Linked DNA regions of Arabidopsis thaliana. The protein of the gene in region 3 binds, or shares a complex with, the protein of the main gene of each other region. Each region holds a gene or a part of one and is shown on either strand. Other genes may lie near its edges.

Evidence for each region.
Region 1: DIS2 (region 3) and ARPC1B share a complex: the UniProt entries of both Arabidopsis thaliana proteins name them as parts of the arp2/3 complex.
Region 2: DIS2 (region 3) and ARPC3 share a complex: the UniProt entries of both Arabidopsis thaliana proteins name them as parts of the arp2/3 complex.

The regions. Positions count from the first base shown.
Region 1 is NC_003071.7:13,341,929-13,353,617, forward strand, and holds ARPC1B (actin-related protein C1B), read right to left. Parts: upstream 8,072-11,689; 5' UTR 7,860-8,071; coding exon 7,790-7,859; intron 7,424-7,789; coding exon 7,335-7,423; intron 7,140-7,334; coding exon 7,063-7,139; intron 6,960-7,062; coding exon 6,865-6,959; intron 6,749-6,864; coding exon 6,679-6,748; intron 6,421-6,678; coding exon 6,351-6,420; intron 6,116-6,350; coding exon 6,042-6,115; intron 5,955-6,041; coding exon 5,912-5,954; intron 5,783-5,911; coding exon 5,701-5,782; intron 5,571-5,700; coding exon 5,482-5,570; intron 5,385-5,481; coding exon 5,299-5,384; intron 5,130-5,298; coding exon 5,066-5,129; intron 4,833-5,065; coding exon 4,732-4,832; intron 4,619-4,731; coding exon 4,560-4,618; intron 4,453-4,559; coding exon of another isoform or gene 4,385-4,452; exon of another isoform or gene 4,120-4,384; coding exon 4,049-4,119; downstream 1-4,048. Other genes in the region: CPUORF7 (transcription factor bHLH155-like protein), read left to right, coding at 1-453, 560-661, 917-1,036, 1,148-1,324, 1,410-1,496; AT2G31290 (Ubiquitin carboxyl-terminal hydrolase family protein), read left to right, coding at 2,223-3,470; INH3 (inhibitor-3), read left to right, coding at 8,981-9,304; LBD14 (LOB domain-containing protein 14), read left to right, coding at 11,057-11,335, 11,438-11,689. UniProt on the Arabidopsis thaliana protein: Functions as a component of the Arp2/3 complex which is involved in regulation of actin polymerization and together with an activating nucleation-promoting factor (NPF) mediates the formation of branched actin networks.
Region 2 is NC_003070.9:22,262,119-22,271,646, forward strand, and holds ARPC3 (actin-related protein C3), read right to left. Parts: upstream 3,959-9,528; 5' UTR 3,714-3,958; intron 3,644-3,713; exon of another isoform or gene 3,631-3,643; 5' UTR 3,565-3,630; coding exon 3,562-3,564; intron 3,365-3,561; coding exon 3,256-3,364; intron 3,181-3,255; coding exon 2,911-3,180; coding exon of another isoform or gene 2,879-2,910; intron 2,822-2,878; coding exon 2,679-2,821; 3' UTR 2,661-2,678; intron 2,539-2,660; 3' UTR 2,267-2,538; downstream 1-2,266. Other genes in the region: AT1G60420 (DC1 domain-containing protein), read left to right, coding at 260-739, 884-1,363, 1,454-2,125; PANK1 (pantothenate kinase 1), read right to left, coding at 4,535-4,760, 4,866-4,978, 5,074-5,205, 5,302-5,395, 5,470-5,564, 5,654-5,773, 6,199-6,315, 6,422-6,468 and 2 more; GolS7 (galactinol synthase 7), read right to left, coding at 9,108-9,329. UniProt on the Arabidopsis thaliana protein: Functions as a component of the Arp2/3 complex which is involved in regulation of actin polymerization and together with an activating nucleation-promoting factor (NPF) mediates the formation of branched actin networks.
Region 3 is NC_003070.9:10,956,935-10,966,796, reverse strand, and holds DIS2 (Arp2/3 complex, 34 kD subunit p34-Arc), read right to left. Parts: upstream 5,890-9,862; 5' UTR 5,692-5,889; coding exon 5,630-5,691; intron 5,440-5,629; coding exon 5,373-5,439; intron 5,280-5,372; coding exon 5,072-5,279; intron 4,977-5,071; coding exon 4,819-4,976; intron 4,716-4,818; coding exon 4,638-4,715; intron 4,560-4,637; coding exon 4,427-4,559; intron 4,331-4,426; coding exon 4,239-4,330; intron 4,113-4,238; coding exon 4,056-4,112; intron 3,986-4,055; coding exon 3,920-3,985; intron 3,834-3,919; coding exon 3,798-3,833; 3' UTR 3,566-3,797; downstream 1-3,565. UniProt on the Arabidopsis thaliana protein: Functions as actin-binding component of the Arp2/3 complex which is involved in regulation of actin polymerization and together with an activating nucleation-promoting factor (NPF) mediates the formation of branched actin networks.

The DNA.
Region 1 (11,689 bases), on a different chromosome or scaffold from region 3:
AGTCATAGCCAGCTCACGTTTGACCCTGGCCCTGAGAATCTTCTAGATGCTGTGGTTGCTAATGTGTGTCAAAGAGATGGTAATGCGAGGGATGATATGATGTCGAGCAGATCGGTACAATCATTGCTTACTAACATGGAACTGGCAGAACCCTCAGGTCAGAAGAAGCATAATATTGTTAACCCAATTAATAGTGCTATGAATCAGCCACCAATGGCAGAGGTGGATACCCAACAAAATTCATCAGATATTTGTGGAGCGTTTTCTTCAATTGGATTCTCATCTACGTACCCCAGCTCCTCTAGTGATCAGTTTCAGACATCCCTGGACATACCCAAGAAGAACAAAAAGAGGGCCAAACCTGGTGAAAGTTCTCGACCTCGCCCAAGAGACAGGCAACTTATTCAAGATCGAATCAAGGAACTTAGAGAACTTGTGCCTAATGGATCTAAGGTGATTTTTCTCTTCCTAGCTACAAGATTACTTGCACCTTCCTTTGTAATGAATTTAACTTATAATATATTTTTGTCATTCACTAATATTTTTGTCACATTTTCAGTGCAGTATCGATTCTTTGCTAGAACGAACGATCAAACACATGCTCTTTTTGCAGAATGTTACTAAGCATGCTGAAAAGCTCAGTAAAAGTGCTAATGAAAAGGTAAAAATGTCAGCTTTCTTGATAACTGATAATCTCTGTTCTATCCTAGAAATTTTTATTCCAGCCTCCATAGTTTGTAAATGAACACATTAAGCAGTTTGTTAGGTTTGATTGATTGATGTAGCAAATAGTGGATCAAATTTCTGAATCCTTGAATGAGAAGATAGGATTATTAGGCACATGGAGATATATAGAAAAACTCAACTGAAAATCAGAAGTAAATATCAAAATTAGCTTATACCTTTGTAATCTCAGATGCAACAAAAGGAAACTGGTATGCAAGGTTCAAGCTGCGCAGTGGAGGTTGGAGGTCATCTTCAAGTAAGCTCGATCATCGTGGAGAATCTGAACAAGCAGGGGATGGTGCTTATCGAGGTATGTAATCTTACATTTTGTCTCTTTTCTTTGGTTTAGTTTAATCTTTGTTTGAACTCGAGTCCCAAGTTCTGCGAGTGTGTATTAAAAGTATTTTTGGGTATTGGACAGATGTTATGTGAAGAATGTGGCCATTTTCTTGAGATAGCAAACGTCATAAGGAGCTTAGACCTCGTCATCCTAAGAGGTTTCACCGAGACTCAGGGCGAGAAAACATGGATATGCTTTGTAACTGAGGTAGGAAGTCGAATTACCCAATTCATGAAAGAGATTCCAAAGCAAATCAAAGTATTTTCCTTGGTTTTGATTGAACTTTGGATTAGTATGATATATATGACTGACTAACATCGAGATACTGATATATGAATGGCAGAGCCAAAACAGCAAAGTAATGCAGAGGATGGACATTTTGTGGTCTCTGGTGCAAATATTTCAACCAAAGGCCAATGAGAAGGGGTAACAGGCGTGGTTGCAGAGTTTGCGTTTACGTAAGATAAAGAATAGGCTTGTGTGGGCTTGTACAGTGTTGTTGTGACACTCACTGCAATACTTTCATTTGTTTGTTTTGATTTTTTGTATAAAAGATAGGACTTCAAAGTTGAGTGTTTAGTGTGTTTATGATTTGCATTTGTTTGCTTTTGAGTTTTTGGACCCTTTGAAGTTTGTATATATACATGACTTGAAACTTTGATTTTCTTCATACGTTTGATTTGCAAGCTGTGGAATTATAAATTAATGGTTAGAAATTTGCAAGCATGCATTGTAATTATCATAATCAAAACTGAGTAAACAACAAACACTAAACCCAAACAAAGAAGTCTTAGAAAGAAGAAAGCTTTCACTTTCACCAGCACTAGTCCCTGTTCTGCCACAGTCTCTTCGCTGCAGAGAGTAAGGGCATAAAATTTGTTCCTTCGAATCTCGGGTTCAGAAGCAAAATCTCTTTTCTACCTCTTGTCGAAACTGTGGCGTTGTTGAGTCTGATGAATCGACTTCAAAGGCTTCTCCTTTCTGCTCCTCGCTTATCTCCTCCGATCATACTTCCTTCGTGGCGGTATTAGGGTTCTGTTTTGCTCCTCTGATACTCTAAAGGTGGAGGCTTTTCTATTTCTTTTTGCTTATAACCAATCGCATTCGTCAATAATTGAAGTTTGAGTTTGATTAGGTTTGGTAGTCAGAGACTGATATGGCTATGACACGAGAGTTATATCGGATTCTGGGTACCAAGTATGCTCCATTGTTAATCCGAAGATTCTCACTTTGGTCAACGAAGAAAGACCCTGATCTCGAATCTGCTCTCTCGCGTAACAAGCGATGGATTGTTAACAGTCGGCTCAAGAACATTATCTTAAGGTGTCCCAATCAGGTTGCATCGATTAAGTTTCTACAGAAGAAGTTTAAGACTCTTGATCTTCAGGGGAAAGCCTTGAATTGGCTTAAGAAATACCCTTGTTGTTTCCATGTTTATCTCGAGAACGATGAGTATTACTGTAGGTTAACGAAACCGATGATGACGCTTGTGGAAGAGGAAGAGTTGGTCAAAGATACACAAGAGCCTGTACTCGCAGATAGGCTTGCAAAGCTGCTTATGTTGAGTGTTAATCAGCGTCTCAATGTCGTGAAGCTTAACGAGTTTAAGCGGAGCTTTGGATTCCCTGATGATTATGTTATCAGAATAGTTCCAAAGTACTCAGATGTGTTTCGGTTAGTGAATTATAGTGGTAGGAAGAGTTCAATGGAGATTGAGCTTTTGTTGTGGAAGCCTGAGTTGGCTGTCTCTGCAGTTGAAGCAGCAGCAAAGAAATGTGGCTCTGAGCCTAGTTTCTCTTGCTCTCTACCTTCCACGTGGACCAAACCGTGGGAGAGGTTCATGGAGTTTAATGCCTTTCCTTACATATCTCCGTATGAGGATCATGGGGATCTTGTTGAGGGTTCAAAGGAGAGTGAGAAGAGAAGTGTTGGTTTGGTGCACGAGTTACTCTCGTTGACGTTGTGGAAAAAGCTGTCAATCGTAAAGCTGAGTCATTTCAAGAGGGAATTTGGGTTACCGGAGAAGCTAAATGGTATGCTTCTGAAGCATCCAGGCATATTCTACGTTGGAAACAAGTATCAGGTTCACACTGTGATCCTCAGAGAAGGATACAATGGCTCGGAATTGATTCACAAGGACCCGCTCGTTGTTGTGAAGGATAAATTTGGGGAATTGATGCAGCAGGGCTTGTATGAGTATAATCACAGGCGATATTTGGCTAATCTAGAGAAGAAGAGAGAGAAAGGTATTGAATCTTTGAAGCCTGTGGTGCGAAAGAAAGACAGGAACCACGATCGAGATGATGTCGATGAAGAAGAAAACCATGGGGATCGACCAGGTGGTCTGTTTGATCCAGAAGAGAGAAAAAGGTTTTATCAGATTCTCTTCAGTGACACCCAATAAGAACATTCTGGTAAAGTTGGACGTTCTCTTCAGATTCTCTTCAGTGACACCCAATGGAGAAAAATTTACCTATATAGTCTGCAATCTCTAAGACGTTGTGCTTTTTCTGAAAGCTACGAAGATCACAATATGCTTGTAAACAAATGCAAAATACGAGTTGTTCCCCGCAGATGCTAGATCAAGATAGAATCTGTGAATTAAGGCAGCTGGAATACTTTCACTTAGTTCAGTTTGGGCGGGAATCAAGAGTTAAGAGTTCTCTGAAACAATGCTATATACTTCATGAACGTGGTCCAGAAATTGAGTGAAAACATTTGCACGTACTTGGAATTTTCCCGATATGTGTTCTTGGTTTCACATTTGGTCTGTGTATAAAGTCACCTTGCAGCTTCCTAAAGGACATACCAGTGGTCAAATTTTCTAACCCCTGAAGACCGTACGTACGTGCTTCAGTTGATGTAAGCCATGTTTTGATTACACAGATATTAAGCGGAGCTTTTGATTCCCCGATGATTATGTCAGATGATACTAGTGTCAGCTTCATTCTGGATTGTATATATCATCACAGATGAAAAGATTCATTTCAAGTTTGTTGATATATAGCATTCATTTCTGTGGTTGTTGTCCGGAGAACTCATTCGACACAAAGCTGAAAATGTTATTATGTTAATATACAAGATACCAACTCGTATAATGAATCAAATGATAGAGCATTCAAGATATTACAAAGATCCAGAGACAAGGGCATAGCTCAAAACTTAATAACACCTGCCCTTACACAAACCAGGAAAACATGGCCTTTATTATGCAGTTTACCAAGTGTGACAATTACGAAATTGGAAAAAGGTGAAAAGGCTAGTCGAAACAAAATCTGATATACAAATTAAGTAAGCTGACTACTGATCCAGATTTTATTAAAACTGATTGCCAAGTTCTTGTTGCATGTTCTCTAGATCCCATATGGCTATTTTGCCATCCAATCCTATAAATAATAAACCGAAAATGCGAGCTAATGAAACCTGTCATTTTGTATGAATTGAATCGGGTGATTCCATGAAGGGTTATATAAATTTAAATTTAGTGACTGACCTGAAGTGCTGAATCGCATAACTTTAGGACTCCCTCCTTTGCCCAGAGGCACAATGGAACTGCAGGTAAACTTCTACGTCAGCTCTTAACAGATAATCAAGTAAAAGAGCTAAAGAGACAGTTTTTTGGCAAATGATTTGGTACAAGCCAAGTTAGATAAAGAAACAATTACGTTATGCTGTTATCATGAACGCCTCCACGTGAATCAGAAGCATCGTTGGCTGTTGTAGACTTTGATTGACTACCGTAGAATTTTCCAAACGCTTCGGAAAACTGAAAAATAACATAATGAACAGATGTGTCAGACACAACACAACAAAATAATGCAAGTGGAAAGTCGTATCGTAAATCCAAGAAAAAAAGAAAGAGAGGAACTACACTAACCCCCAAAGATTACGATCTTTAGAGGAACAACTCAGGGATAAGTTAAAGTTCAGTCATATTTTTTTCACTAAAAGGCTAAAACCAGACATATTGCAATATAAGAAAGAAGATTTGGTATGTACCTGCGAACTGTAACTGGAACCTGAAGATGCCGCTTTCTTCTCTCCAATGTATCTTATGAAGCTCCTACAGACCAAATACAAAAACTTGTAAACGAAGCAATTATTGGTAGTGGTTCGTTTCAGAACCAACAATCCGGCCTGTGATCTAAGAGGAATAAAAGAACTGAAAATTTGATAGTATGCAAACCCCTAAGAAAGAGAATTTTAAGCAGATATTTCTGAGAGTTACACACCATATTCCAGTATCATCTGCAGCAAATACCATCGGGTTGCTGTCATATCCAACCCCTATCACCATTTTCTCAGAAATAAACAGGACCTGAAATAGCAATTTCCCCATAATATATCAATTCAGGACATAACACACCGGAGAAACCAGGTTCTCAAAAGTAAAATAAAGGTGGATGCTGACCCACATCACGAAGAGGCAAATCTCGGAATGCAACGCTTTGGGCTAAAGGAGAAGGGCCAACATCATCAACAAAGTAAATCATGGAGCTATGACCTATACATGATTACATAAACACGCAAAGTATGACAGATGGTAGTAAAAACTGCAACCAAGTTGAAGTTCCATTGTATTATTTCAGTAGAGCGCAATGGAAAAACATCCCAAGTCTGAAGGATTTTCTGACCTACATATGCTAAGGTGTTTCCACTTGGAGACCATTTAACACCAAATGCCCAAGAATATGAGAGATCAAGCTGAAGAATTTGCTGTTTCAACAAAGCCACAGTAGAAAAAAAAACTCCCTAACATTAGATGAGAGAGTAGACGGAACATATATATGGCACAAGAATTATAATATTTACTAAAAGAAGGAAAGCCAGCCAAACTAGTCGAACCTCCCCAAATTTCGTTTCCGCTGGTGAGCCTGCTTTTGAATCCCTGTATCAGCCCATTGAAAGAAAAATAAGAAATGGCCTCATGTTTGAAAAAATGTCTTAAAAGTAGACGTTCAAGTAATGAGCATACTTTGTGTCAACTCCTTTGATGAATGTTGAAAATACCCGACATTTTCCATCTGTTGATGTCGTTGCCAGAAGAACCTAATGCATAACAGACAATCAGAGAGCACAGCAACATAAAAAAGCATACGAGAAAAAATGATTTAGAAGATTAACTAGTTTGTGGAGATTGATATTCTATTTTTAGGGATCATGTACTCTATACTCAATCTGGTGGCCAACTTATAGAATATTTTTGGTAGAGAAAGCTTTTACAGAGAGCCTGCTTAATATTTTGGCTACATGAACTACAAGAGGTTCTGTTGATTGCACGTACATTATTAGGATGCCAAGCAACAGATGTGACTGAAGATTCGTGCCTTTTCCGGATTAGCTTACTGACCCACCTGCAAACAGTAAAGCCAAGCAATGTCAGATACTAAAAGTTTACATGAAAGTATCTTTCTAAAATCTCTAAACAATACACAGTTATGCATGCCAAGATAATAAAAAATATGATTGGTGCTAATATCATGCCAGTACATAAGACAAGATAATATCATTACATAGACCAACAACACCATTCGTAGCAAAGAAGTCAGGAAACTTGCCAAAGAAAAAATCAAGGACTAATAATGAGAATTAGGAGCAGAAGAAGAAAATACCAGTTATTCTCTTGCTCATAATAGCAAATACAAACAGTTTTAGCACCACTTCCAACAGCAAACTTGTTCTCTATGGGTATTGAGCAAAAAGATGAGAACATAGATTAGAAGCTGTAGAAATTATAGGAAAATTACATGATATATTACGGAAATTAAGCTTAAGAACCAGAAAAATTAAACATTTACCTTTGGGGCTCCATTGGACACAAAGTGCAGCACGATTTAGTCTAAGAATAACGAGAGTTGGTACCCATTCAGCTCCTTCCAGGCTCCAGACGTACCTTCAAGAAGCATTCTAAACTCAGTTCAACGAACGAAAAAAAGTGAAGGACTAAGATTAACAGGTTTGGAGTTTCTCAAAGTATATCAAAGGTAGCAACTTACGAGTTCCTGTCATGAGAAACAGTGACGATTTTGTTGGACTTTGAGCTCCAATCTATTCCAGAAACAATTTGGTCATGCTGCAACAAGACGAACAATAATCATGAAGTTGTTGTAAGGGAGATTCAAGCTGTCTATACAACACTTATCAGCGACAAGTGATCAGTGAAATGAGAATACATAAATATACGAAAGTAAGGAATTCCCAAGAAGAGAAAGCAAAAGGAGTGCAAGTTCAAAAGTTACAGAAAGAGAGGGAGAGAGAAAGGTTTCACCTTTTGGAGGACATGTAACCTCTCCCAGTGGTCTTGAGACAATGATTTATAGATATGAACTTCAGTGTTGTTAGGACAGAGAGCAACCACTACCAAGAAAAACGAAACAAATGTCAAAGCACATAAATGGTTACAGGCTTTAGTACAGACGTTAAATCATTTGTAACAATAGATTTGGTTCATCTGTTTAGAAAAGCGCATCTACTAATGTACAATACTAGATACCAAGTGCTCCTAACAAGAGACACCGACAAACAGACATATAAAACATTGACTCGAAAATTCTCAATTATAGGGATTTAGAAGAAACTTGATTACCAAGATGTATAAGAATAACACAAGTCAATTCAGAAAAACTAACTAAAGATCCTCCTCATTTATAATTCTAAAAACAGAAAAACGACGGAAGAGAGAAAGAAGAGAATCACAAAATCAGAGAGGTGTTAGAAACATACTGGAGAGATCAGGACTCCAAGCATGGCAAGTGATTGACTCAGCGAAACGATGAACATCCACCACTGCCATGAGTGATCCTTGTTGTCCCAAATGTGTTGTAATGAAGACAGTCTTTTCTCTCAAATTGACATCTACAGATTTCTAAAACGGAGTCGTACGGTGAATAGATGGACAGATAATTATGATGAAACGCCGATGAGATCCGGAGCTTGACGACGACACAGTCGCAAACGTGAAGTGAAAGTGTAAGTGAAAGAGACGGATGTTTTTGTTTGTGTGTTTTATTTTACTCTTATAGCCCAATTTTTTATGACCAGATCATTTTCTATTTTCCTTGGCCCTGTCTTAGGGGCGGCCCAGCATAATAATAAGCAAAAAAAAAAATAAGATCTAAATTCTGCATTAGTTAAATACTTAAATATACATAATTGGATTTAATCAAATCCATCCATGTAAAAATCTGAACTAAACCTCACTATGAGTATGAGTAACTTATAAAGTCATTCTATATATTCAGTTTTCGAATCCCAAATAAGTTAACATTATAGTTTTCTCAAAATTAATTACACTGTATTAGTCTTTTTTCTAATATATATATTAACATTTCTTAGAAAATAAATATAAAATTAGACCGAATTTTTTTTTTTTTTTTTTTTTTGGTTGGAGCGACTAAATTTCTCCATCGGCGAAAGAAAAAAAAAACAAAACGAAAAAAAAAAAAAGTTTCTCGATTCAACAAGCGTCCCTTCCTCCTTGGGGATTCACAGGTTTGCTTCTTCGTCGATTTGATTCTTTGAATCTTTTTTTCCCCTAGGTTTAGGTTTCGCTATTGTTTCTACGATCGAAACTAGGTCTCTCTATTGTTTACTGCAACATTTGATTCTCAATTTCATATCACCGATTTGTGTTTATCCCCTGGAATTAGGAATGATTAGGGTTCAGATCTCGTAGGCAATGAATTTAGGGTTAGAGAAATAGCATCTGTTTGGTTTGTTTACCTAAAGAATGAACCCTAAAGGCTTTGTTCTGTTTTACGATTTTGTTTAAGGTCTTAGTTTTTATCTTTAGCTCTTGTCATTCTTAAGCATGTTGTTAGTTGTTACTATTAAGAACTTTTATTCTCTGTTCTTGTATTTTGGTACCTTATGAAATTAGTCTTTTATGCAGATTTTGAAAGCTAATCTTCAGCTATGAGCACAGCAACAAGGCCTTCCTCTTCAGCAACAACTTCTGTCATATTAGAAAACCCTGTTTCTCAATCACAACCTACTGAAAGATTAGTGCTTCGGTTGAACCGGAAGAAGAAGAAAGTTTCATGGAAAGATGGGACTGTAGACAATGAGTTTATGCAGAAGAAGAGTTCGAAGAAGTGTTGCATCTTTCATAAACAGAAGCCTTTTGATGAGGATGACAGTGAAGAAGAAGATGATAACAACCATCACTGTGATCATAACCATGAACACTCCGAATCTGGTGAGGCATCTTCTTCTAATGATTCTAAAGCCGTTGACTAATCAATCAGGTTTTTTCACGTTACTATATATTGAAGCTTTTTAATAGATCATGGAAGAACACACATTTGTTGTTTTGGTCTCTTCTCCTATCTAACCCTGGTTGGGCGTTATGTATATGTACAAGTAATTTGCAGATTCATTGCAATGTTAACTCCTTCATACTCTGTTGAAAATGATGTGAATCATTGAAGATTGCTAATTAGTTAAAGAATTACAAGGATGTTATATTTTCTTTCTACATTTGAATATGCTTTTGCTTTTGCTTTTGCGACTGCATACTATTTCTCAAAATGCAATGTTCGGGTTTCATCAATTAAAAGATGAGCACTATATTATTTTCCCAGTAGAATAGGATTTGCAAAGGGTAAGTATAATGTTTGGGTTTCATTGGCCGATGTTGGGATCAATGCAGCTTCTGGATCAGATGGGTTGTGATTAGGATCGATAAAAAAATATGACCGATATGGCAGAACGATGTAGCTACTGGTCGGATGGTTTGGTTGGCTAGATCGGTGGCTCTATGACCATGATGGTTGATCGATGCGGGTTATTTAGTTGGCTCCAGGGATATTGGATCTGCATTTGACTGATGGGCACGGCCAATGTGGCTTATGAGGGTTGTTTGAGGAGTCCTAGATCAGTCATTGGTGAGACCGATCCCATGGCCGTACTGGTTCTGTTATTTCTTTGTTCCCCGGTCCTTCTTTGACCAAAACTCCGTCTTTTCCGCAAACTCTAGGCACAAGTTAGGATATCTAAAGACACCCGAAATCCTTAACATAGATAAGAAAACAAAAATAAAGCTTCAAACTCAAATTTTTCTTACTATTTTTAATCTCCACTAAACCAACATTAAGTCATAAATCCACTATCAGTTGTTCATTATTATCGAATAATTTAACTTTTGTACTTGATCAATTATTTTGGAATATTTTTGATGTTAATCATGATTCATGATTAATATGTGGGCTGGATAATCATGGGTCTCTCTATTTTTCTAGTCTGTAAAGTTTGATCGAAACTGAGAGCATTTTAAAATATTTAAATCGAGATATAGAAATAACTTGTCTCATATACTACTAATATCAAATGCCTTTGTTCTTATTCTACACACATCTCAATCACTTATGTGGTGTATATGTTGAGCATTGTTAAATCTTAAACTATTGTTTTCCAAATTAAGCAATAATGACAACAATCTTAACATAATTTCACAAGTACATGTAAATTTTCAACTAAACAAACACTAAAAGTAAACTCTAATTTATTTTTCTAAATAAAATAAGAGAGTAAATTAGTTATGAATTAAAAAAAAGCTAAAACCACAACAAAAAGCAACTTGGGTTTGGTTCATGTTTACTCATTGTTTTGTCCTATACGTCAACCAAATCTCTCATTTGATCGGATCTTAATATTAATATGGTTCTCTCAATATTTTCTTAAGAATATTCTCCACCTTAAGAGTTTAATCTCAATAATATATTACAACGAGTTATTGAATATTAGAGAGATGTTTTACAATATAAACTTGAGGGAAAATATAAAAGCTGCAATCTTGTAATTGTAAGCCATTAGAGAGACAAATATGTAAAATAACAAGTTGAGTTATCATAAATCCCACCTTAGTCCTTTACCATAAACACTCGTGCACTATATAATCGTCACTAGAAGAGTATAAGTAATGAAGTATTAATATTCCTACAAGATAGTAATAGTTGGTTAATATCAATAGATTATAATTACGTTTTGAGAATGGGAGGTTTAGGCTCACCATGTGGAGGATGCAAGTTCTTGCGTAGGAAATGTGTAGAGGGTTGTGTATTTGCACCATACTTTTGCTACGAAGAAGGATCTTCTAATTTTGCAGCCATTCACAAAGTGTTTGGAGCTAGCAACTTCTCTAAGCTCATTTCTCATCTCCCTGATCATGACCGATGTGACGCCGTACGAACCATCTCTTACGAGGCTCACTCTCGTCTCCATGATCCTATTTACGGCTGCGTCTCCCAAATCTTCTCCCTCCAACAACAGGTATTATACTTTTTCTTCGGAAATGTATACATAATTTTTTTTTGCTTTTGCTTCATCATCTCTAGTGTACTTACAAGTAACTTCACTGACTTTGTTCTTAAGGTTGTTAGTTTACAAGCACAAGTGGTTCTACTTAGAGAAGAAGCTTCGAGAAGGTTCCCTCAAGATGATCCTGGTTGTAATATGAAGCAACAAGAAAAGGTTCTTGCTCAACAAATGCCACAAGATCTTCACAATTGGTTTCACCAAGGAATCTTGGACTCAGACTTCGACCCAATGAGTGGTACTACACGCGACAATGAGCGGTCCATGGATCATAATGAGTCTCCTTGTAGCTCAAATGAATCACTTAAT
Region 2 (9,528 bases), about 11 Mb from region 3:
CTTCGATCGCAACTTCTTCTGATCTTCGATAACGATCCTGTGATTGTCTCGCGATTCTTTGAACCGACTCTTCTGGTTTACAGAATATAGATAGCTTCGTGTAGTTGATTGATTTGCTATAGATGACTTTAATCGATTGCTTTCAAGTGTTAAGATTCATTCAGTGCTTGGTCCTTTATTGATTTGGCTTGTGTCTATTTCACATGGCTTATGTTGTTTGGGTAGAGTTTAATTTTTTATGCATTTTTATGATGTTTAGGTGAAAGTTGACAGCTTGTTAGGGAAGAAGATTGGATTGTATTTTTCAGCTGCTTGGTGTGGACCGTGTCAGCGGTTTACTCCACAGCTGGTGGAAGTCTACAACGAGCTCTCTTCGAAAGTTGGTTTTGAGATTGTGTTTGTGTCAGGTGATGAGGATGAAGAGTCATTTGGAGATTATTTCAGAAAGATGCCCTGGCTCGCTGTTCCGTTTACTGATTCGGAAACCCGTGACCGTTTGGATGAGTTGTTTAAGGTTAGGGGAATACCTAACCTAGTGATGGTTGATGATCATGGTAAACTTGTGAATGAGAATGGTGTTGGGGTCATACGAAGCTATGGAGCTGATGCTTATCCTTTCACACCAGAGAAAATGAAGGAGATCAAAGAGGATGAAGATAGAGCTCGGAGAGGACAGACCTTAAGATCTGTCTTGGTGACTCCTTCACGAGACTTTGTGATTTCGCCTGACGGAAACAAGGTGCACATTAATAGCTTGTGAGATCAGATTCTTTTTCGTCAATAGGAAGATTATATCTATACAAGACTCTTGCATTAGTTAGTTATTACGGACCTGTTTCTCTTTTGTTGACTTAATGAGACCGATCAATTGCATATTCATTAGGTACCCGTATCAGAGCTTGAGGGAAAAACCATTGGCCTTCTCTTCTCTGTGGCCTCTTACAGGAAATGCACAGAGCTTACTCCAAAGCTTGTTGAGTTTTATACGAAGCTGAAGGAGAATAAGGAGGATTTTGAGATTGTGTTGATATCTCTTGAAGATGATGAGGAGTCTTTTAATCAAGACTTCAAGACCAAGCCATGGCTAGCATTGCCGTTCAACGACAAAAGTGGATCAAAATTGGCTCGGCATTTCATGCTGTCAACACTACCGACACTGGTCATTCTCGGCCCTGATGGAAAAACCCGTCACTCGAATGTCGCTGAAGCTATTGATGACTATGGAGTTCTTGCGTATCCTTTCACTCCAGAGAAGTTTCAAGAACTCAAGGAGCTAGAAAAGGCAAAGGTAGAGGCTCAAACGCTCGAGTCACTTCTTGTCTCAGGTGATCTCAACTACGTTCTCGGAAAAGATGGGGCAAAGGTATAGCTCTCGATACCCTCTTCATTTTCTAAACACTGTTCTTCAAGGCTGATCTGAACCAACCTGTAAAAATTTGGCTTTCTTTGTTAGGTGCTTGTTTCGGATCTGGTGGGGAAGACTATTCTTATGTACTTCTCAGCTCACTGGTGTCCTCCTTGTCGCGCTTTTACACCAAAGCTTGTTGAAGTATACAAGCAGATAAAGGAGCGGAATGAAGCGTTTGAATTGATCTTCATCTCCAGTGACCGTGACCAGGAATCATTCGATGAGTACTATTCGCAAATGCCGTGGCTGGCTCTTCCATTTGGTGATCCTAGGAAAGCATCCTTGGCAAAAACCTTTAAGGTTGGTGGGATCCCAATGCTAGCAGCTCTGGGACCAACTGGGCAAACCGTAACAAAAGAAGCAAGGGACCTTGTCGTAGCCCATGGAGCCGATGCTTACCCTTTTACTGAGGAACGTTTGAAGGAGATTGAAGCTAAGTACGATGAGATAGCAAAAGATTGGCCTAAGAAGGTGAAACATGTTCTCCATGAAGAACATGAGCTAGAACTAACTCGTGTTCAGGTTTACACATGCGATAAGTGTGAGGAAGAAGGGACAATATGGTCTTACCATTGCGACGAATGCGACTTTGATCTTCACGCCAAGTGTGCTTTAAACGAGGACACAAAAGAAAACGGCGATGAGGCTGTGAAAGTTGGTGGCGACGAGTCCAAAGATGGTTGGGTTTGTGAAGGAAACGTATGCACCAAGGCCTGATAGGTAGCTTCAGGCACAGTTATGTCACTATGTGTATGCAAAGCTATTTCCTTTCTTTGTATAATTGCTAAGAGTGAGAATGTGTGGTTACAATCTGATATCTGATTAAGACCTTGGAGATAAACTCTGTTAATCTAAAGTAATAATAAAAGAATCTTCTTATTTAACTTTGATCTTGTATCAACAAATTTTATATTCCAACAGGAGTTGTATGAAACAATACATTGGCACACTCTATGTATATATCAAGAGATACAGAGAGAGAGCATTCTGCTCTCAGATGAAATTTTCGTCTTCCTGGTTCCAGTGGCTAACACCTATGCAGAGGAAGCTAAAGGTGGCGATTCTCATGATCTCCAGTGGCTTTGGATTCCCTCATTCGTAATGGGCAGCAAGCAAGGAAGAATAACCAGCTGCTAAATTATGAAAAAATCAGATCAAAAGAAAAACATTTTAAGCTTGAAATGTAGAACTGTTTGAGATGGATCTAAGATCACGTGGGATTTTGGATCCAGTAAACTAAAGTGATACTTACCAGTGATTCTCTGTTTTATCATAGGACGACCACGTTCATGAATTTCCTCTTGGCGAATGCAAGCCACCATTTATTTGGTGTCCCGTTGGCTCTATATGCTACACTCAGTAACCTCCCACTTGTCTCCTCTCGAACCTGCTTAAGATAGTTCCTGAAAAGCTCTGACATTTGAAGCCAAACAGAACACAAGGCTAAGGACCAAGTAACTGAAAGAAAAATCAATAAGAGTTGTTTAGACATGTATATATACCTGCTTCGTCCTGGGACTGCGGAAGCGAAAAGAGACCTGGGAAAGGAAAGCCAGTTTCTCCAGGAACAGGAATATCTTCTAAACCCAAGTTGATAATCGCTTTAGTTCCAACAGCCAATGTTCTACAGCCTTCAAGCCTCTTTAACGCCACATTTATATAAAACGTCAAGTAAATAAGGAGCTTATCAGCAGGACTTTTGATATCAAAGTTTGTGAAGAAGACATTAGCACGAAAGAAGGTGATTGCCTCGTCTACTATATCAGTTTTATCTGCATATAAAACCAACAATTTACAAAAGCTTTCGATCGCACAATTGAAAAAAATCACATGTTTTGATTAATTACCTTGTTCTGAAACAGGTGCAGGACCTTTTATATGACTCTTGAGAGGAAGCAATGGACAACCACATGCCTTTGTTACTCCTTCTTCATCCACAAAACTCGAGTGATAAACCTGATCAGAGCATTTAATCACAAGGATTAAGGAAACAAAATGAGCATCGCAGAGTTAAATACTCCATGGAACCAAATCAAAGTGAAACAAGCTCAATAAATAAAAAAAATCTCATCGAAGATCTAATCTAATTTCATTAGTTACAAAATGAAATGCGATTAATGCTAATTGAAAGATAAGAAAATGGTGATCCGTACCATTTTGTGCCGAATTTGAACAATGAAGCGATATCAGGAAGGAGAAGAATCGAATCGAAGGTAGATCTGCTGCAATTAAGATCTTGGATATATAAGAATCAGAATTTAGGTGAACGATTGATTCTATAGATGAAGAAAGAAAAAGTTTTTACCTAAACGAGATCAGATCAATTTCAACTTCTTTAGCGTCTACGAAAGAGGAAAGACTGCGTAAAGTTCACACGGTGAAGAATCCTTCGTGATGTTGCGGCGGTCGGAGATTGTCTTATTGGGAAGCTTAATCGCCGGCTGAAGAAGAAATTGAAATGGAAAATCGACGAAGTAGGAAAAAGGAATGAAGAACAGAAGAAGAAGAAGACAGAGAGGTATGGATGACACGTGTAAGACTCCATGAATGTGGTACATTGCTTCGTACCGGGAGTAACCAATGTTAAATCCGGCTTAGCTTTGATTTTTGAGTTTCTCGGTTTTTTTATTTGAAATTTGGTTTCTTATCGACCACTGGAATTAGGTACATCAAAAACCAAATAATGATGTGGTTCATTCTTCGGTTCAGTTTCGGGTTACATCAAAGTGGTTTGACCGGATTAAACATTGATCTTCAATCAACAACAACAACAAAATGTCCATATAAGTGTCAAGTTTCTGTTATTTCTGCTGAATGGATAAAAACTTGTTACATAAGCAATATACAAAACTTAGTAAACAAAGGCTAAACAGAAATGCACAAATACTTGCAATGCACCGGACTAAACCGAGATTTAAAGAAGCTCTAGTGAGATTTAATAAGTGTGTTTGATTCTTTGTGTGATATATAGTACAAGTTACATTGGTCATACATGAATATTAATACGTGAATCATCTTACATAAATGTGTCTAACATTCAACAAACTAGTAATGAGCAGCTCTTGACTCAAACAGTTGATTAAACATATTTCTACACTGAATTGATAATAATACAACTGGTGATAACTAAACTAAATTGATGCTACATTCTATGGTCTCGCTTTCGTTTAAATTTGAAGTTACTGGGATGTGCCGAAAGTTATGACCTGAACAGTTGAGAATTGCTCTTTGCACAGTGTGATGATGCGGTTTTAAATCGTTATGGCTCTGGTCATTGTAGCTCGTGAAAGCGCCTAATGCTCCAAGAAACCCTTCATGTCGTAAAAACATTGCCTTTGCCTCACCTCTCGACCTGAAATGAGAAGGAAAAATGAGAAAGTTCGATAAAGATTTTGTGGACATACATGAGTTTAAGATATGGAGGGATTTGATTAAGTAGTTTCGGTTTTGGATTTACCAAAAGTGAACAGCAACGGAGATTGTGTCCATGGTGTACTCAAGCCCACGGATGAAAAATCCACCAAAGAAAATACGCTTAAGACCGAATCTGAGAGCATTCAAATAAGCAATCTGGAGGGAGAGTAGAAAACGTTACAATTCGATCAGAATATCATCAGCTTCAAATTATGTTTTAAAATGGCATTAAAATGTTCAGAGGAACTGACCTGACCGATGTTATTTGATATCATTCTTAGAAGGGACCTTGCCACATCTTCTGGCTGGTAATCTTCAAGTTCTTTACCATCAGAAATCGCTTTCCCAAAGCTGGAAGCGATAGCTGTTGAGGAGAGACCAATCTATCAAAAAAGAATGAACAAAAGGTTATATTAACATATGAATCTAATCTAAAAGTCTTCAGACATGTTTAAGCAAAACCAGGATCAATCAATTACCTTTGAATAATCTGTTCCACCGTAGATATCCCCCACAAGCATGTCAATTACTCTGTTATTTCCATGGTGGCTTAACTCTAGCAGCTCATCAAAACTGAAATTAAGAAATATTAGTTGTTACTCAGGCAAGGAGGAAACTTACATTAATAGACTTAACTAAGAAGTCACCTCTTGCATTTTGTTAAAAGCTTCCCAAGACCTAAAAATGTGCCTCCGCCAAGGCTTGTTCCACTTATCCTCTCATATTTTCCATCTCCATCGACCTATATAAGAACGAGTTTGAGTAAGCAACATCGCTGGTGTAGTAGCAAACAAAAACAGAGAGATCAGAGAAACCAAAACCAGAATGAACCTTGATCATGCTAACGCCAGAACCGATGTTGACTAGTAGATATGGATACAAATCATTATGGTCGATCTCGACAAACTTCTTTTGGCCATCTAAGTAGGTAAAAGCTTCCCTTGGGACAGTCTGCAATCATGCAATAATCTATTGTTAATTTAAAATGGCAGAAATAAGAAGTTTATCAAAAACTATTCTGCCACAGATGCTTTTAATGCAATGAAGAAACTATCGGTTAAAAAACCTCAGGGAGCACAGCTCATTTAATCAAAATTGCAAATGATCACCATCTTCAAATTTATAATGTCCTAAATGTTAATGTAGCTATATTTTCAGTCTTATAGACGTTAGTCTGCAACAACACTCAGGCCAAGATCACTATCAGGGAAACATAATACAACTTCACTCATAAAGAATTAGCAAAAAGTGTTGACAAAGATGAGTGATAGCAACGTGTAGCCTAGACTATTCAGAGTACATATATATCCTCATGTGGGTTATGTTTGAGGAAAAATGAATAGAAGATGATGATAGGATAGAAAAAAAAATCAAACCTTTAGTAGAAAATTAACACCACCAACAAGAGAACACATCTCATCTTCCTTATCGAAAAGAATACCAAGTTTCTCCTTAAAGAGATCAGCAAACTTAAATGCCCCACCACCTGTGGCCTTTGGAATAATATACCATACCATAATCAACTTACAAACAAAAATCCCACTTCAACATTCTTCATTACAAAGCTTTATCCAAACTATAACCGATGCTAGCTTTTACCTTAACATAAAGTTTATCATGACCTTCGCCATTCGGTTGCTGTACACCTGAATAGTTACCTCTGTCAGTGAAATATCAAAAGAACTCAACTTTTCTCGAAATCAGTAAGCTAATGACTCATACATTACTACTGCAAATAGACATAATACTTCTGAGTACATATGAATCCGATTATGAATCAGAGGTTAGGATCATAAAAATCAAAACTTTACCGGAATGATGAAGGATATTGAATCGAATAAACTCCAAACAATCATCAATCTTTCTAGTCTCAAACTTAGCGAAACAAAGCCTTCCTTTCACAACAGAGCAACCATTACGAGACTCTTCGCTATAATCTCCATTTGCAGAGAAATACACAAGCTTGATCAGAGTCCCTACGAAACCAGAAAAAAAAAAACCCCAATTCCGGTTAATTCGAGACAAACCCAGAACCGAAAAATTCTAAAACTGAATGAAACAAAGCCAAGTTTGGATTTTTAAATTACCTCCGATGTCGAGAGCCAAATGAGAGATTTGAGTCGGATCCATGGCGGGTTTTTTGTTTGGGTTTTTGCAAAATTCTCTTTTTTCAACGTTAAATAGAAATAAATTTCAACGATCAACTACTTTGGATCTAAACCATCTATCTACTTCTTCTCTCTTTCTCCATGGCTGACTTGTTGTTGTTGTTTTTTCTTCTTCATGGAGCGATGTTTGGCTGTATTGATTGCGTCAATAATTTTTCTTTTAAAAAGAAAGAGAGACGAATTTTGCTGACCTGTCATTTAGTCTTCTCCGGATTGGATAGAAAATAGTATTTTTTTTTTTTCTGTGCGTTAAACTAAAATGTAAGAAACTGAAAAGTAATCTAAAGGTGTTTTGTTTTGACCAAAAAAAATAGAATTTGAAATACAAACGCTCTCCCAGAATAGAAATAATTTCGATGCCAAAAAATAAAATAATAATAACAACTTTTTTCAAATCTATATATAAAACTTAGAGGTGTTTTCGTTGTATAGAAAAATATTTCATTTTCTGTACTACTAATTTTCTGTTTAAACAAACAAAAAAAGACTTTTAAAGAAAAATAAAAAATTTACTTGTGTAGTTTAATTGAATGGAAAATTCTACGCCTATTCAACAAATCGAATCAAATATGAGCAGTAAATGCTTTCATTGACTTCAAATCAAGTTCCACCGCATTGCTGATAACCTTGTCGTATTAAGAGATATGGAAGTGCTTCTCCTACGTCTTGTCGTATTCAAGACATGGAAGTGTTTTGTCGACCACTTGTAATAACAGTTACTGACATAAACCATACATTCACTCGCGTTTCTGACCTTGTTGATAGGCCCACGAAGAACATTGGTTGGGATGGTCGGGGCATTTGATGATAACATGTGACGGACTAGTTCACAGTATATATGGGAAAAACTCAATTTCTGAGTTCAAAAATATAAAAATCATAATCGTGGGCCTAAGAGTTAGGGTTAGGTTGGTTAAACCCACGAATCGTGTTTGAGTTGTTTATGCCTCCCCTCCCCCCATTGTTAAATAATTGCCTACTTTCAAGTTTTAAGCTCTTTCGTTCTTGTATGCATGCATTCTTTGTTAACCATTTTTTTCAATCAAACTGTTTACAAAATGACATGAAGCATTCTTTGTTATCATTTTGCCCCCATATCTTCCAATGAATCCAGTTATGCTTGTTAGCACACATAACCTTGAATTTGATAAATTTAACTCAACAAAACAACAAAACTTGAATTTCATAATGTGACACTATTGATTCTTGCGCATTGTGTCAGCACCTTAGAGCATCCTCAGTGGTAATTTCTAATCATAAATCTCTTAAACAAAATTAAAGTGTAAGTATAGATAAATATTATTTTTAATTATGGGTCTCTTAAATTTGGTGAAACTAAAACCAATTATCTCTTAATTAAGAGACAATTTACTTAGGTTTCATCAAATTTAAGAGACTTATGTAATATTTAAATCATATAAAATTTTTATTATTTGTTAAGAAACTTGTTTAGAAACCCCTATTGAGGGTGCTCTTATTGTTTATTTTTTTCTTTCTTTGTATTCAATTTTTTATGATTACTATCTCTCCCTTATACTGTTACTAGAAAAAAAAAAAAAAAAAAAAAGAGAGATAAGAAGAAGAAGAAAATATTTAGTGTGAATAAAACAGACAATGATTAACAATTTAAATATTCATGTGATTTAGTTAGGTAGACGGCATTAATGTATAATCTAGACTTACAACAAAATTAAAAAATATATTAAAATTTGTAGTCTATTTCAAGCATTAGATTATATATTCTTTCTCATTCTTTTTCTAAATCATAGTTACTAATTGAAGCAGTAGCCTATAATGTGTTGAAACCAGTAACGTGTCTAATTTTTTAAGAAATTAATTAAGTAAAGTTACTGCAAGAAATTGAAACATCAGATTGTCAAATCATAACTCTTTTAAAGAAAACATTACTTTATTATACAAGATTGAACATATAAGCATAAATACAAATAGATTATTTGTAATTTGAAATAAGTATTTCTTTGCAGTTGGCAAATAGTAATTTAACAAAAACGAAACAAAATTCACCACACCAAACAAATACAAAAAATGAGAATATATCAAAAACACACCAACTTGATTCAAACATACATTCTTGTGGTACTTGCGTTTCCGATTTCTCAAGCGGCAGAAGGTGCAGCAGGAGAGTAGGAAAGTGGTGCTTCGGTTACCGAAGCTATAATTGTTGATTCCAAAACGGTTGCTTCCAAATCTGCAGGGCTTTTCGGTTTAAAATCAAGAGACTCGTCATTGTAGATATCCCACCATTTCTTAATTAACATTTTGACGTCTTCTCTGTCCATGTTAGGTTCTTCTCCTGTGTACCTCCATGGCTTGGATCCCTTTCATTTTAGTTTCACCAATAATAATCAATAGATGTTAAAATGCAAGAGAAAGCATTGGCAGAACTATCCTCATGTAAATGCATTCCCATATAGGACAATACTTTAATTTCTGTTTAAAGAAGGTTTAATTTGGAATAAAATTAATTTATATTGATGTATATATATAGATTTTATAGTAATAGAGATACTAAATTTC
Region 3 (9,862 bases):
AATATGGTATAAAATACCTCTAATAGGTTTAAAGACAAAAAAACTTTAATATATTAATTAATATTGTTTTAAACATACATAGTCAATATTGCAAATCTATTTCACTATTTGATAATAACAAATCTGTTTCAAATCTTGAAGTTAGTTTAAAAGTTTATCATTTAATTAATGTAGATAACTTAGATATGGATATTGGAAGAAGCAATCTGACTCTGAACAACAACAAAATTATGAAGTAGAAAAAAAAAACAAAGTTAACAAGTGTAATTGGTAGAAATATGTGGGGAAGTACAAAAGGGTTTTGGAAAAGAAAAAAAAGTTAATAACATAAGCACAGAACATTGTGCCATTAATTGTTTTCAAATTCAGTTTAACTTTCTCTCTCCCACTTTTTAAATATAATTTAATGTTTTAATTTAATTTTGTTATTTTTCATCTTACATTTCATAATATTATTAAAAAAAAAAGTATGAAAAGAAAGAGATAATACCAAAAAACGAAAAAACCGAAATTTATAAAAACAAACAAAATAAAATAAAATAAAAATTATAACCAAACAAAGAAACCAACAACATAAGCACACAATGGTGATATTGGCTCTCAAAATCGAAATATTAATATTGTTGCCACGAGCAGCCGTGATCTAAGGCCAGACCTAAATACCTTAGAAAACGTAGCGCTGATATCTTTTGCGATGATAATCTCCGATGAGACCATGAATTCAAGCCAATGATCATAACGGAAGTCGAATCGCAGAAAAAACTTACCACCTCCGAGGAGTTACCAAACCCGACGCCACTGAAGAAAGAATTAACAGTTTTACCATGTAAACCCACCACAAAAATTAAACCGAAGATTCACCCGTAGTGTGACGGTTTATGTGTGATTCAAGGATCCCAGGATACAACCTCTATAAACTGATTTCGCAGCACTCGAAACACAACTCTAACGAACAAGTTTCTACGATACTCTCGAGACTTACTTTAAGACAGAGAGAGATTGATGGAGATGTTTTGCTTTTGAAAGATGTTTGAACGTTCAAGTGTTAATCTGCTAGTGGATCCACAAATACTTAGAAGCCTAACCTTCTTATATAGAGTTGAGATACTTAGGTTTTAATTTGCTTCTTCACAAAATCAAAACCAAGTCAAATAGAAATATAGGAGGTAGTGGGTGACTTGATACTTCAACGACTCATATTCTCAAGGAGTTGAGGAAGCGAAGAGGACCTATTCTTTAGGGACGTGAAGAACATAGTGACTTGTTTCCTCCTTTCAAGACCAGACCCGACAACCACCGGAGCTCCAACGTGAGCTAGGCCATCTCTTAAGCCCATTTCTTTTCCAACACTTTAATTTAATTAAGCCTATTAGCTTCAAGTTGCCACGAGCATCCGGGGTGTAAGGATAACGTTCGAAAACTTATATCGTCATAACTTACATACTTTCAGCAAGCAATCGACACTATCAAACTGTAAACAAGTGAATCATCCAAAATTGAGAACATTGTGATCTCAGACACTCCGACACTACTAGTCGAGATCCCGTATCATCTGGCAACATTCGTCTAAAACTATCTTCTTCTACAAGCTTCAAGCTGCTAAAAGAGACTCATCGATAGAAATTTCTCCTTTTAAGTCATATGCTATTAGAACTAACCAAAGACCCAATAGAAACCGCTACAACAACCAAAGAGAACTATCACACGAGCAATAGGATACAAAAGAAACTAGAAAACCATCGCTCCTTCTGAATCTAAAATACGAAAAAGTGGGAGACCAAGGTTTGGAAGCACCATGCAAAAATCGATGTTGTTTTTAATCGCAACTAGAACCGATTAAAGATGTAGCAACCAGACGTTGAATCAAGGAACCTCAGTGACAAACATAAATGAATCTCTCAAATATGCTAGATGTCCTCGAGCTAGTACGAGGAAGAGAGGCTATCTAGAAATAGAAATCGATATAGATGAGAATTTAGACACGTCGAGCAAGATCTCGAACTGCAAATAACTTAAACACTCTGTCATTTACCGCTAAAAACGATATCGTTGAATCATAAAATAAAGGAAGTTTCCTCATGACACTAGCAAGAAATGCAAAAATGCCAAAAATACGAGTAAGGCAAAATGTCGATATGTTTCTAAAACCCTAATCTGTTTTTGGAAAGGAGCAGAAAACACATGTGTCTCACACGCCCGCTACCTGAGCATCATGCTACTCTACTTTCATCTTTCTAAGAGCATTTCCAAGCCATCTCTATACTTTATTTTTGCTTTCATTTTACTTTAACTTATCTCTATTTTTATTTATATAGAAGAAAAATTAGAGATTTCTAATTTTCTTAGAAACCATTAAAAAAATAGAAAAAAAAATAGAGACAATTTCAATAATTTAAAAATAATTAGTTCATTATTCTTTTATATTATTTTATTTATGTAGTTTGGTTCCATGTTTGTAGAATTTTTTAGTTCTAATCTCTCTTATCTGAATAAAACCAATAATAAGATAAATACGAGAAATTTGCGAAAATAAATCTAGTGTCCTTGTTGTGATTTCATTAAAATTTTAAAATAGTTCTCACGCTTTATATGGATTACCACAAACTCACATTTAAATTTTATGTTTTTTTTACCAAGCCAAAAGGAGGAGTACTATTTACGCAAAACCAAAACCTAATCTTGGTAATCGATATTCGATACCCAGCTAATCATTATCAAAAAAGTAATAATAAAACTCAAACCATAATTATCTAGAAAAATGAATCTGTTATAATACAAACACCAAAACGACAACGTAACGTAGTACGGTAATCGGTATGATGCAAAATTATCACAGTTTGTATGCTATATTGTATAATCTGAATCTACCGTAGTATATAAATCGTATGTTATCAAATCGATATTATGGTCTAGTATTAAAAGGATTTTGGTGAAATACAACTTCATATCCGAAAATAATCAGACAAAATTTCTTTAACGCAAGACATAAAACATCATTTATATCAAATACTATTCCAGCTTCTTTATCCATTCTCGAAACAATATTCTAGTCCTTAGAGCTAATGAGAGATTATACAATGGTTTGCGAAAATGTGAAGGTGATCAGTAAGGAAGATAGAATATGTTAAACCAACATCAAGAAGACAAAAAGGTTTCGTGGTGTAGTTGGTTATCACGTCAGTCTAACACACTGAAGGTCTCCGGTTCGAACCCGGGCGAAGCCAGTTAATTGCTTTTTATTTCATTTTTTGATACAATGAAACCTAACAATATATGCCCAGTCATAATTTATGGGCCTCAAAAGTATACTACGAAGGAATCGTTAATTTACTCGTGCGACCTTTGAATCTTCTTCTTATACCTTACTAGATCACTACAAATCTTTGATACATCTGTGTATAAGGATAAATTGAACGTTTGTTTTTATATGAAAATCAACTTTTACGACTATTTGTTGGTACGAATATTACTTCATTTAATTTGACTATCTGAGAATCTGAAGAACAATAAAGATTCATCTTCTTCATTTTTGTAAAAACAATTATAAAACAAAACAAAAACTTTATTTTCTGTTGAAAACACCATGTTTAGATCAAGACCAGACACAGTCCATATCAAGGTGAGTTTCTTACAATTTTCACATTATACATTTGTTCAAATATTTAGCAAGATCAGATGTATAGAAATATCTGAAAGAATTGTACTAAAATAAATATCACAGAGACTTAATCCAGTAAAAAAAATACATGTCTCAGCTAATCACAAGTTTTTACAAAATTGCTTCGTGAGAAATCCAACTACTTCGAGTTGGTGTGATTGACCTCGTTGAGTCCCTGTGAGGAAGAGGAAACAAAGCTCAAAAACAATGCAAACAAACAAAGAAAAAGTCTGTCGAAAAACAAATTGTTTCGCAACTTACTAGCCGTTTAAATGACTTGTTGTTCATCGATCTTGTTTTCTCCAATGGCTTAGCTTGATCCAGAGCCTGAGACAACAAGATTTTGTTAACTAAAGAACGCATATCCAAGTCGAATGTAATGAGTTTGGTGTTTTACCTGAATCATAGATTCCACGCGACGCCGCATCCTGGTGTGCATAAATCCCTCTGAGAACTGTGATATAACAACAAACGAACAAAAACTCAGTTTTACAAATCCATACTAAGATAGAGAGACTAAGTTCTGGTATTTAGAGAATATGAAAGTAGAAAACATGAAAGTTCGATAAAGAATATGAACCTTGACGTGATAACTAACATAAGCATGAAAGGTCGATAAATTCCAGACAGTACGATCGAGCTTTTTCCCTTCCACATGCCGAGGAAAAATGACTGCGATATATCGATAATCTCAAAGTTAGTTTCTTTCAGATTGGTACTACCAATGCAAATTGAGTTCGAACAGAATATATTTTAGAAAGATCATACCAAAAGTTACAAAACCGGCATTAGCGGATAGTGTTTCTTTAGGAGCTCCCTCTAATTCCTGCGGTGCGGTTGGAGACCAAGAACAAGAAGGAGCAGTATTAAGCGCAGCAGCACGCCTCGCCTCTACAAATTCCTATATCATTATATCCAAAGTTTCAGTACTACAGAAATCAAAACCTGTTTGAAAATTTAGCTTTGATCATTTTGTCACCTTAAGGAAAGAAGTCGCCAGAATCGTGTCTACGGAGTCTTTAAATCTCATAGGAAATGCCACAGTGACTTTATCCGCCTGTGATACACAGTTAAGTTCTCTATCACTCTCTAGATTCTTACTAATCATAAGAACCTACTTCAATGGCTACATACGAAAGACCTATAGAGTATATATATACCTGAGGCACGAGGAAAAACGTCTCGTTAGGTCTATGCATAATTGCTACAAGCCTATCCAGCTCAGGAGCAACCGTCCTTGAAGCTAAATGCTTGAAAATGATTTTTAACGGTGCACCCATCACCACTTCTCTAATGGAAGCTAGCTTCGTTAATAACTCTGCCAAAACATAGATACTTTCTATTAGAGAACAAAACCAACATCTAAATCAAAACAACATCTTATCAATTAGAGAAAGAGACTCGTTTAAAAACCTTCATCAGGACGAACTTTAGAGAAATTGAGCTTGAGGGTTAAACTAAAACCATCTCTAGGAGGATCAAGTATTTGAAAACCTGTCCCGTAAGTGGTTTTAATAGCTTCTATAGCTCCTAAAGGAAGTCCATCAAAGGACATTGCTTCAGGTGGTGGATTTGGTAACGAAACCGAAAGCAACAACAGATTTGGATTCTTCATTGTCACCTATCAAACAAAATTCATATAGTCTCAGAACATTGAACAAGATCATATGGATCTCAGAGGTCAAATACTCAAATGTTGGTATAAAATTCACACCTGAACATGGTAACGAACATCATCAAATTCAATCCATTGATAATCTAGCTCCACTGCTTTATCAAGACTGAACCAAAACATAAACAAAATCAAGCAAAGTATTGAACTTTGGTTCCATTCTACAAAACCCAGTTCTTCCAAAATGTTTCAGATTTCTTCACAAAATCAAAATCAAATCGACCAAAATAAAAAATGGGTCTTATTGTAGATTAGGTAAAACTAAGAGTGTACCTAATTAAGAATTGAAAAGCACTTACTTTTGAGCTCGCGTCAATAGCGTTTGAAGAAGAAACCTTGAATGTGACTGCAATAGTATCATCGATTACTTTCTTACGATATCTAAAGGAGTTAACTGAATCACAGAGAAACCCTAGAGCCTTTGAGTTCTTCTCACGGGATCTAATCGGAGAAGAAAGAGAGCTCGTCGGAGACAAACGAAGACGACCGAGATTCTCTGTCACAGCTTGAACGTTTCTTCGATAACTTTTTGGAATTTTACTAATTTGTTCAATTTTATTACTCAGCTACTCAGCTAAGTGTAACGACGCCGTTTCGTTATTTCTGTACTTTATATTTTTTATGAATTTAAATGGCCCATAGGCCCAATTATGTAAATACTATGTAGTATAAGCTGAGCCCATTTCATAAATATACAATTTGAGCTTAAACGTTTCAAAAATATTTAATGTTGCAAATATCTGTATGTTTGTTTTGACAGTGGCAAACTAGTAGTGTTTTCTAGATTTTTTTTTTTCCTTCAGATTTTAACATTTGTATTATTATTTTTTCTCTGGCTTTTGATTATACCTGGCTATGTTGATTGTAATCTGACGAAGGTTTTTAAAAAAAAAATAAGCACGTAAATTAAATGATATTTTATATTTTAGATTCCAGATATATGATTATTTGAATGGAAATAAACGACAAAAATTAGTGGAGCAATGTTTTCGTATTATCTGACGTCTTCATAATATTTTAATCTAACAAAAGTTGGAATTTGACCGTTTAATGTGTGCTTTTAAAATTGAGAGATTAATTTGGATAAGATATGGCTCTTTTCTTTTTGTAAGTGGAGATATTTAACTAATTAGAATGTTACATTAGTTTTTTCAACAATGAAAAGATAAGATATTTGATCTATAAGTCTACGTATATTTTCAAATTTAAATTGGCCAGAGTGGGATAAAGACAAATAACATATGCATGTGAAGTTTTTATTTTTATTGATATTAAAGTAGACTAGTATAGTCTCTAAATGTAATTTAACGAACAATAGTATACGAACGATTTATAGTTAATATTAGTTTAAAGCTCTTTAAATAATATTCTTATTAAGTTTTTTTACTTTGACGACAAATATTTTTAGGTTAGATATGAAAGCTACATCTACATATAAAAAGAAATTATTATTTTTTAGCTTTAAAATTGTCTATTTTGAAATTGATCGTGGGCAGACGGATGTGAGAGATGAAGGAGCCTCAAAAGCAAAACTATCTCACGTATCTATACGCACACACATATATACGGATATGGTCCTACTGCATCGACATAAGCTTACATACTATAAATGCATGTGATGGCTTTTCTTAGCATAAATATTCATGAATAAATATGCGAAGTTATATTTATATTAGGGAGAAAAAAGTAGATATAGTAAAATGAGTAACGTTTGTAAGATAGATCGTGACATGGTCTTGGCAAAAGAGGAGCCGCTAGGGACGTATCTTCGCCATTGCATATTTGCATATCGATCTATATATAAGACCAAGTACTGATTTTAGAAAATCTGAAAAAAGCAGAAAAAGAAAACAGTCGTACGTACGTTATTTCTATAACCGGAAAACTTTGATAAAAACTTAAACCTTTCCTCTTATATTGAGAGTGAAAATTTTAACCCCTAAACCATAGATTGGTTGACGTAAAAGAATGTTATTTTTAACTAATCGATGGTAGCTCATTTAGCTGAACAATGATATTTACATTTTTATATGTCGAGTCATGGAGATAGTTAAAACTTCCAAACCATCCCTCCCAAAACTTCTATTGTATATATATTGCAATTTTTATTTTTCGCAATAAGAATTTATCTTTTCTAGAGTCTAGACTAAATTGTACTTTTGTGTTTGGTATAAAACTCTCAAGCAAAGTTAATTTTGAATTGTTAGATTCCAGCATAATTATTTATACAGTTAGCTAGTAAGCAAAACTGATTATGAACTCGTGAGACTTCTTAACTGTTCTAATACAACTATATATTATTATTATTAAAATTTACCGTGTCAAAGTCTAGGGTTCTAAATTTCTAATTAAATATTACCAGAAAGTGATGTAAAAACAAGGAGTACTAGAAAAAGTAATATCAAATATGGATAAGGTGAGTCATCGCCACGCATGTTGTCGAGTACGTACAATTGCGAAGGCCCATCATTTTTTCATATTCTGTAAACGTCAATAAAGTGACTAATATACGTCTATATAATATAAAATACTTCTATGTATATTAAGTGAAAGATTCTTGTAGGACAGTATACATACTCCAGTGGATAATCTAAACTTATGAATTAAATTTCATTTCATTGCACTTGTGGGCCGTGACAAATAGCTCCGTAATTCTAGACGATAGACCATATATAAACACAACTATATAGTCTAATATGTTGACCCAGATGTTTTAAGAGTTGTGTTACAAAATGCAACACGTAAATTATCAAACCAAGTAAAATCACATGTCACATGCATGTGCTAAATGTTTGAAACAGATTCATTCATATTCGTATAATGAACGTGAATCCGAGTGATCACATGGACTAACTTTAATTTCGAACCTTATTTTGTCTCATTATATGTCGGAGAAACCACCGAATTTCTAGTTTGCCCATCACGGGATGCTCTACTTCATCTTCTATACGCTCTTTCTGTAACGTTTTATGGCTAGCTATATAATATATACAACAAGTACTGATCATTCTATTATTAATCTAGGTTCGAACCACATTAACGTGGATATTCTATGTACACTCATGTTCAGCCAGATAATTAGTCGTACCAAATATTAATATTTTGCAATAAATATCTCAGCTTTTCTCAGGTATGTAGCAATCATGAGTCATGCGTGATGTTTTTGGACAAATTATCTTAAAAGAAAATAATTCTACGAAAGGGTAGTAAAAGTGACAATATATGATTATATAATTTGGTTTACAGACCATCATAATACAGCAGCATGATTAGTGGCGAAAATAGTTTATTGCAAGAGTATGCATGTGTATGTATATATTGCATTTGTGTGGCAGTAGGTGGTCATTATCGCATATATACTACATGGGATTATTGTCACAGGTTTAAATGGAAACCAATGAAACCTTCACATTTTAGTTTAGTTCTAATTAAACAGAGTCGATATATTAAATGATTTAACTACTGTAACAAAAAGATATATAATTTTATCATTTCATCTTGTTGACAAATACATTTTGTTCAGCACTAATCATATCAATCACTTGTTATGCACTAATCGCAAAACGTTTAGGAAGCAACAATAATTTGGAACCTGTTTTATCAACAGTAAAAAAAAATTTTGTTTTATTGGATTAGTGTGGTCCCTTTGTTTTGTTTATCTCATTTTCACCGCAAACTAAACTAGATTTTGTTTGATTTGGAGATCTTGTAACGCAGTGAGTGGTTAAGACTTAAAGATCTCACGTGACGATGCATTGACTCATCAACGCGAATTTTACACGGCTCGATTTTATTATAAACCATTACTTCAAATCTAATTAATTTAACAACAGCGACCACGCATAAAATTGTTATCAGGCAAAAATGAATAATTTGCATACAAATTACTTGTTTACACTTAGTACTAATATAAACTCCCTTTTTAACCAAAGCCTATAACCTAGAGACATGTGCTGATAAAACCAACTATAATCTTTTTTTTTTTTTAAAGAAAATAATCGTACTATTATATATGTCATAATTATATTTATATTCAAATCCGGAAATTTGTATGCGTTGTAAGTTTTTTTGGGGAAGTAAAATTGGAGTGTGATATATGTGTTGTAACTTGTAAAACTAGAAAATTATTTTGATTTTACATTTGGTGTTAAGAGTAAGAGTTTTTGCACCTAATATTTAAATAATTCTTTATTAATAGGTGGAAAACTATCGAATGTTAATTCCATGTTGTTGGACCTATATGTTGCATTTGTATATGTTCGATCCTCGTCCTTTTTCAATGTGCAGATTAGTTCATATTTCTTTTTTATAACTAAAATTTTTAATACCAAAATCCAAATAAGTCTTGAAATTAAATGAAAGTAGTGCATTCTTCGCATTTAAAATATTTGCAGTAATGAAGGATCTACAGTATTATTAAATTTTTAATAAAAGAACTTGAACCCTAATCTCTTAACTCCATGCATGTCAAAAAAATCCAACCACTTGATTAGATTAGATTTTTGCTAACTTATTTATATTCATTTACTGAT